Ovis aries: one gene and its partner. The protein of the gene in region 2 binds, or shares a complex with, the protein of the main gene of each other region. Links are inferred from orthologs where the notes say so. Each region holds a gene or a part of one and is shown on either strand. Other genes may lie near its edges. The genes, in order: EHD1 and MICALL1.

Region 1 (3,799 bases), on a different chromosome or scaffold from region 2:
ACCAAAAGTGAAATGGTTCATTCATGTCTGATGAAACCTTCCCACCAAATAGAAACTAGCCTACAAAAAAATTAAAAAAGGAAAGAAAGTTAGGACATTTTCAGTCTGGGGCATCACTAGATACAGAAGCCGCCCAGGACCCAGGTGGCAACTCAGTGAAACTGGGCAAACTAATTTCCACACACTTGAGCCTCGTAAGGGAGAGAGATCCCTTCTTCCAATCCTTTGAGTCCTTGGAGAAAGTCAAGTGGCCATACATAACCAACAGGGGCTGGTTTCATTTATAAATAACCTGGGAACATTTTGTTTTCCGTTTTTTAGGACTGGGTTTTCCCAGCATACAAGGCTCTAGGGAGACGTGAAAATCATGACAGGTCAGTGTCAGAGCTACTGGGACAAGCTCGGGCACCCTCATCAGGCCATTAGACAACCACCTCTTTCAGGATCCTCCGCCTCAGGCCCTTCCCTGGAACACCCCAGAAGTCGCATCTCCGGGGCGGACCCCTCAAAGTACTATGAAGGAAGCAAGTCCTTTTGGCTTCTAAGGCTGGCCCCGGAAGTCTGGATGGGTGACAGCCCTGCCTAGGAGTCTCAATATCCTCTTTTGAGGAGAAAGCCAGAGTCTCGTGGTTTCTGTGTTTTACTGTGATTGATGAAAAGAATGCTAATGAAGTCCCAAATAAAAGCAGTTAAGTCAGAAAGCTAAGATTGCAGTCAGGGCTGGAATTACTCAGCCGCTCCCTAATGGGGTGAGGTGGGGGGGGGGGGGGGGGAAGGCAATCAATTTAATGTGGTTTATTCCCTCAGAAGACACTGAGACCTGATCCTACAAGGGGTGGGTGAGCAAAACTCCCATCTGGCCCCCTCTGGTTCCCACTTGACTCAGCTCCCCTGATATTCTGCTGATTCTCAGATTTGAGTTCCTGCATCTGTCCTTTTAGCCTGCCAGCCTGCTCTCTTCCCTGATAACAGGTGCCTGATAACAGGCACCCAGCCCTCCAGGTTCCCACATTTCCCAGCAGCCAGAAAGCTGGATGGGGGAGGCCTTCACGCTCCCAGGTGCATTTTAGATCTATCCAGGAGCGCCTCCCTCACCACCACCCCTGCCACTTTGGTGTCCTGGTACCGGTTACATAACAATCAGTCCCCAGAGCTCTGACATCACCCACTGAAGATTCTCACCAGCCTGGACAGCCAAGGGGACCTATGTGTGGCCCGGGATGATGGTGGGGGAATGAGCCTAAGGGAAGAGCCAGGAACTGGTAAGGGGAAGAAGCACAGGTCAGAGTAAAGCATGGTAACTGGTGGTGACCCAGAGAGGAAAGCGGAAGTATTTGGGTTTTTTAATTCCCCCTGGGTTCCCACAAGATTTCACTGTTGCCCCACGTTTCCCCTCCACCCTACATAGGGAATTTCTGATTAACTTCCTCAAAACTTGAAGTGCCAGAGGGCCTAACTTCTTCATCCCACTTCCCCACCCTCAGAAGCAGCCTCTTGAGGGAGGCGGTCTCTTCTCCCTCACGTGTTCTGTCATATGTGTCCTCCACTGCTAGCGTCCAGCTCCCAATTCCTGGCCTGTGGGGAGCTCAGGTCTCTTGCGACGGCTCAGACTTTCTCCACCAGCCTCCTCCCTTCCCATCTTTATTTCCCCAGTCACCACCCCGCCTTGGAGGGTCTACTCTCTCAGCTTTCTCCACTACCTCATTCCTGTCTCTCCCTCTCCCAGAGCAGATAAAAGACGAGGGGATGAGAAGCAGTGTCAGGGAAGCAGGGGCGAGAGGAGGCGGCAAGGAAGGGCAGTGCAGACAGGAGGCGCATGGCACCCGGGGTTCTCCCCTGCTTCTGGGGATTCTGAGTGGGAGGAGGAGGGCCGCCCATTGAGGGAGCTGCGGGTAGGGCGCGTATTCAGGGTACTGGGGTGTCCAACTGTGAATCTCGCGGGGGAGGAAGACGTGCAGACACTGGGACCTCCGCGCGCCGCACTCCGCCCAGTCGCCTTCGCGACCGCAGCACTTCCGCGAGCCGCCCCCGAAGGGGCGGGGCGAAACAGGTGCGGTTGCCACGGCACCCGGGCCAGGGCGGGGGGGGGCGGGGAGCGCAGCGGAGCTAGCGGAGCTCGCGAGATTTGCAATCGGCCAATGAGAGGCGGGGGAGGGGAAGACGTGGCGCGGAGCGCGCGGGCGGGGCTCCTTCTTCCCTCTCCCAGTTCCCTGCGACCCCGAGTGGCGGCGGCGCGCGCGTTCGAACGCGCGGCCGGGCCTTATAAAGAGCGCACGTCTAGGCGCGCGTTCCACTGTGCAGAAGGGCACTCGGCCGGCCGTGCCGTGCGCCTGCGCAGTGCGGGCCGCTCCCCGCCCCCCTGCCCCACCGCCCCTTCAGCCGGCCGGCCCGGCCCAGCCTCGACTCCGCGTCCTCGTCCGGCTCTCAGCCGCCCCTTTGCCCTGCAGCAGCCAGCCCGGTGTCCAGCAGCATGTTCAGCTGGGTCAGCAAGGATGCCCGCCGCAAGAAGGAGCCGGAGCTCTTCCAGACGGTGTCCGAGGGGCTGCGGCAGCTGTACGCGCAGAAGCTGCTGCCCCTGGAGGAGCACTACCGCTTCCACGAGTTCCACTCGCCCGCGCTGGAGGACGCCGACTTCGACAACAAGCCCATGGTGCTCCTCGTGGGCCAGTACAGCACGGGCAAGACCACCTTCATCCGGCACCTGATTGAGCAGGACTTCCCGGGGATGCGCATCGGGCCCGAGCCCACCACCGACTCTTTCATCGCGGTCATGCACGGCCCCACCGAGGGCGTGGTGCCCGGCAACGCGCTCGTCGTCGACCCGCGGCGGCCCTTCCGCAAGCTCAACGCCTTCGGCAACGCCTTCCTCAACAGGTAGCCCCCCCTCGACCCGGGATGTGGGGGAGGGGGCCGCCGGGGTCCCGACAGTCCAGTGACCGCTGCCCACGCTGTTCTTTGTCCGAAACCCCCGCGAGACCCCCTCAGCGACCACTCCCCGGAACTGGGTCCCCTGCCACTTTCCAAAGAAAACCCTTACCAAGGGGGTCTGCGAGTAGGTGTCGCCGGCTTCCGCAGCTCTGTCTCCCTCCGCTCCCCTCCCCCGAATTTCCCAGGTTATCGGTTTAACTCCCAACCCTCGACCCTGGCAGATCCCAGACTCCTCACATCCCTCAGCTAGTCTTGGTTTCCACCTCCTTCACTAAGGCTGGGCGCACCTAATTCATTGAGACCAATCTCCCTCACCCCCTCCCTTCAAGGGTCTGTTTCTTAAGTGTCCTGGAAAAATACAGTGAAACTTTTAGCCATTCACTTTGCTAGTGTGGTGTGCCTCCCTGGAGACTGGTGGTTTGTGGAGGAGGGACAGGGGAGATCTGCTGTGGCCTGCTGAGTTTGGGGCGGCCTGCAGAGGCAGCAGACAGAGGGGAGCACCAGCACTTCTTCTAGGGGCAGCTCTGAAGGGCCTGTGCTGCTGTAAAGGTTTCTGGGGTAAGGGTCTGTGTTGCCAGGCCATGGCCCCTGGAGCCCTGGAATCCCCTGTAAACTCCCTAGGATGTTCCCTAACCTACTTGGGCCTCTGTTTCCCAGTTCAATGGGTAAATGAGGGTAACCCTGTAAAGGTCTAACCTTCAGGACCCTATGAATGAAATACATCAGCCTCCTCTCTCAGGAGCGCTACAGCCTGGTTCACTTTTTTCTAAAGGAACTCAAGGTCCTGGCTCAATGGGGATTCTAAAATCCGCCCCCCACACCCCCAGGGGACATACCAAAGGACTTCACAAATTGTCTTCTCTGCCAAACT
Region 2 (4,218 bases):
CCCGCGATGGTTCATCAGCCCTGCTGAAAACCAGGACTCACCCAGAGACTCCAACCAGAGGCATTCAACCAGCAAGTGGCCTCCTCGGGATTCCAAGTCAGCTTTCGGTCTTTCCACCACCAAACCCACAACCCGTAGAAAGAAACCCAAAGGGTGGGCGGGATCCAGACTGAAGGAGCCCTGCTTCAGAGATCCACCCCCAGCCCGTGCGTCTGAGCCCACCCGCCTCATCTCCAGCAGCTCGCCTCTGAGGCCTGGGGGCTGAGATGTCTGCCCACAGGAGTTGCATCCCAGGCCTGGCACACAGCATGCAGCAGTCCCCACAACTCTGACAACCACAGGCCTCACGCTCTCCAGTATCCTGTCATTTTCCCGTCCCCGTAAATCAAAGTATTTCAGAAATTTCAACCAAGCCTCCCACTTGGAGGGATTCATATAATCCTCTCAGGCCACATGATCCCAGTTGGGGTTTGCAGAATCAACATGGTCCTGCAGCCACAAACAAAACAGAGAGGACCAGCTCAAGGGCTGGGGCTCTGGAACATTCCACGGGGAGCCTGTGTCCACAGTCCCTCAAGAAGCCAAGGGCTCAGGGCGCAACCTGAGGAGGACGGCCGTCCTCTACCTTGAAGGCCGCAACACGCGGCCCAGAGGCAGTGAACTGGAGAACCCGGGCCAGAGTCAGCCCACTCTGACACGGTAGGACATACCCTTGATTTCAGTTCAAGTCAGTTTTACAAAGTACACACACGCTCCACTGGATTTCCAGTTTCTTTTGAAAAATGCAAAGATCTGGTCCCATTGGGCCCACATCCCACAGGCTACAGTTGACTTGGGTGAGGGACAACCTCTCCCTGTGGTTGCGGTGTGTCTACCCCAGTTCACCCCAGTCCCTGCCACCCAGGTGTCCTGACACCAAGGCAGCCTGACGGGGCCGCCCTGCAGGACGCACCCAGCCAGGGCTCACCCAGCCGAAAGGCGCTGGAGCTGGTGACCCCCGTGGCAGGCCAACAGGCCTGTCAGCAAGGAGACGGTCGGAGGCAGCACTGGTCCCGGCAGAGGAAGGCGTCCTGCCCAGCGGCAGGGAGAGAGGGGCCAGGGCCCCCGGCGGTGGACAGCCCCTCCACGCCCTCCTGGGCCAGCAGAGATGCCGGCCAAGAGGCACGGCGGAGGCAGGGAAGAAGGGAGGCCTGGTAAGCGGAGGGCGGCCCAGGGCTGCAAGGCACTGGCAGCTGAGGTGGTCTCTGTTTATTGTCAGTGAGGAAAACCCTCTCAAGTTAATACAGTGTGATCTTTCCCTGGAGGTGTGCTGAGGGAAGGGCCCTAAAGGCACCCTGGAAATAGCTTATAGCAACAGTGCTTTGCCCCAAGAGCTGCTGGGCACGTCCCCTGGGGTGAAGGTGCTGGTCCCCATCGGCTCCTCCTCTCCCACAGCCGTCCCAGGGGGTGAGCGGCCATCAGTCCTTTGGAGGCAACAGAGTCAGGAGGGAACAGACAACAGGCGCCTGTGAGGAGACAGGCTGGTGCTGACCACCAGGGGCGGGTCCGCCGCACCCCAGCCCTGGGGTGGTGGCGAGAGCCCACGGGAGGGGCCAGGGCCATGGTGTGGGGTAGAGGGCCAGGGTTAGCACCTACAGGCAGCACGCCTGCCTGCTGCTGGTCTGGGGCCCGCCCACCTCCCCCGAGGCCCACCCTTGGGGGGCTCAGCTCCCGGGCACCCCACCCGCCCCAGCACCCTGTCTCAGGCAGGGAGACTTCCTGCAGAATGAGGGGAGGTGAGGGAAGCACCTCCTAAGACTTCGAGGAACAAAGGGAAGGGTCTGTCCATGAGGCCCCTTCAGGTCTTGAGGACACAGTAACTACCTCCAACTTTAATTAAGAGACTTCATAAATAGAGCTCCTGAGTGCGGAGAGAGAGAGGCAAGGCTGCCTGCCCTGCCAGGATGACAGGGACTCAGACCCAGGACGGCAGGTAGCGGGAAGGGGCCGGCGTGGCCGAGTCTGGCTTGCCGACCTGCCCAGAGGGCAGGAGACCCAGGCCAGAGGGTCCACCACGGGCAGACCCTCATAGGCAGACAGACCCTCTGCTCCCCTCCGCACGAGGTACAGGAGTGAAGCGGGACCAAGGGCAGGGGCTTGTGGGACGAGACCCTGCTCGCTCCTGGGGTCGGTCACAGCATCTGGAGTCAGGAGAGCCAGGCGGGGGGCTCAGAGGAGAGGGAAGAAAAACTCTTTGGCCCAGACCAGCCAGAAGACCCTGAGGAGGGAGAGGCCATCACCCAGAGGCTCCCTCCCCTAAGTCATCTTTCCTCTTGACTGATCCTGAAGGGACACAGAAGCTCCCCCCACCGCCCCGCAGAGCGCAGCCAGTGCAGGGGTGGTGTCCCCAGCTGGCAGTCTGCACCGTTAGCTCCTGTCTCCGGGGCACTTGCTCTTGGTATCACGCTTGTTTCCTAGCAGCTTCAGCACCTTCATGGTCTTGAACTTGCCCTTCTTCTTGCCCTCGGACTCAGCCTCCTTCTGGAACTCTGCAGAAGGGAAAGGGCAGTCGATTGGGGCGGGCCAGGGAGTGGCAGCCAACAGTCTCAGCCCACCACCACCCCCACATCGCCTGGAACCATGGACATGTCCCTTCATCCTTTTGCGTCTCCAGTTCTGCACCTCTAGGATGGGACCCCACCCCTTCCCAGCATTTCGGTAGGCATCGGGACACGAAGGCAGTGGGGGAGCCCTAGAGCACGGCTGATGTTTTATCTCGAAAAGCCTCTATTCCTCTACAGCTCTGTGGCTCACAACACAAACACTGACTGTCAGAGCTAGAAGAAACCGCAGAAGTCATCTGGCCCAGTCCCTCACTTATTATGGACAAGGAAAATGTGAGTTTGAAACAGATTACCACCAGCCAAGCTTTTTGTGGGTGCCAGGCCATGGCTAACTGCTTTATACAGGTTATCTCAGTCATCCTCAGTACCCGCCCGGGAGGTGGGTGCCTCTGTTCACCCCCATCCTGCAGACAAGGAGAGTGAGGCCTGAAGGGGTGAAGCGCTGGCACAAAGCCACCCAGCTGGGACACATCAGAGCTGGGACCAGATTCCAGTCTAACTGGAGCCCAGACGGAACCGCAAGGCCACAAAATGAATCACTGAGGGAACCAAGATTAGGCCCAGGCCTCCTGACTCCCAGTCCAGTGCTCTCTCATCTTCTCCAAGGGCGGGAGTTAGGGGACTGCTCTTTGAACCCACAGACCCCTCCTGAACCAGCTGCGGATCTCAAGGAGGAATGCACAGCTCAAGGCAGACATACCCTGGGAAAGGGCCCCATACGCCACCACCCTCCCTGTTGGTACCACAGCATTCCACACCCATCTTCCTGGCCATAGGTTGGCCTGCCTTGCTACACATGGCCTTCTTGGCAAAAAAAAGGCTTGCACACACTGTCCCTGTGGGTACCCCTTCCAACGCTGTGTTCAACCGGCCCCCCCACCCTGCAGGAGTTCAAGCGGGCCAGAGCCCCAGGAGGGGCCTCACCTTTCTTCTTGATCATGGCTTCCAACATCTTATCTTCCTCTTCCTCCCTGAAATGAGACAGGGAAGCTGAGTGTCCCACAGGAGGAAGGGCCAGATAATCTCTCAGGCCCCTCCAGACTCTCTGAGTCCACACAGGCTGAGCAAGGGGGAGCTGAGATGGTTGGCAGTGAAGGTCTCATCCCCAAGGAAGCCCTGGGAGCCCTGTCCCCAGCCAAGTCACCTCTGCCGGTCCTCGTCCAGGCAGTTGACGATGGCGTTGCGCTGCTCGATGAGGGTCACGAGCTCTTGCATCAGCACCTTCTCTCGGCCCCGGTCCTCCTCTGTCCAGTCCTTTTCTGCTCAAGGAGAAAAGCTGGGGACATGAGGCCCAGGAAGCAAGGAACCAACACCTAAGTGCTAAGGGTGACTGCCAATCAGCCCCACGCTGGACACCATGAGAACAAGGAGAAGCCCAGATGGGTGGGGATTACAGTTTTTGGAGAAACGGAGGTTGTTGCAGAAGAGACCAAGAATACCAGTCTGCCTACCAAAGAGACTCTCCCAGGGGGCTCTGAGAGGACCAGTACAATGCAGGCTCTGCGAAAAGAGAGCAGCATGGCCCAAAGAGCTTCCTGTTTATGTAAACCAGTTTTCCTGGTTGCGTTCATGCAACCAGTGTTCACTAGGTGGTTTCTTGGGGGAGGCAGGATTA

What was found.
Region 1: the proteins of MICALL1 (region 2) and EHD1 are in contact, whole or in part, in an NMR structure (PDB 2KSP), measured with the Homo sapiens proteins. The link is inferred for Ovis aries from reciprocal best matches to the Homo sapiens genes MICALL1 and EHD1. Residues at the interface, in NP_203744.1 of Homo sapiens: Lys422, Tyr424, Asn425, Pro426, Phe427, Glu428, Glu429; in NP_001269373.1 of Homo sapiens: Gly464, Ala467, Lys468, Met471, Asn478, Leu481, Gly482, Trp485, Lys486, Lys492, Asp493, Gly494.

The regions. Positions count from the first base shown.
Region 1 is NC_056074.1:39,552,631-39,556,429, reverse strand, and holds part of EHD1 (EH domain-containing protein 1), read left to right. Parts: 5' UTR 1-2,470; coding exon 2,471-2,874; intron 2,875-3,799. UniProt on the Homo sapiens protein: ATP- and membrane-binding protein that controls membrane reorganization/tubulation upon ATP hydrolysis. In vitro causes vesiculation of endocytic membranes. Acts in early endocytic membrane fusion and membrane trafficking of recycling endosomes.
Region 2 is NC_056056.1:215,564,624-215,568,841, reverse strand, and holds the end of MICALL1 (MICAL-like protein 1), read right to left. Parts: intron 3,863-4,218; coding exon 3,748-3,862; intron 3,575-3,747; coding exon 3,528-3,574; intron 2,529-3,527; coding exon 2,407-2,528; 3' UTR 759-2,406; downstream 1-758. UniProt on the Homo sapiens protein: Lipid-binding protein with higher affinity for phosphatidic acid, a lipid enriched in recycling endosome membranes. On endosome membranes, acts as a downstream effector of Rab proteins recruiting cytosolic proteins to regulate membrane tubulation.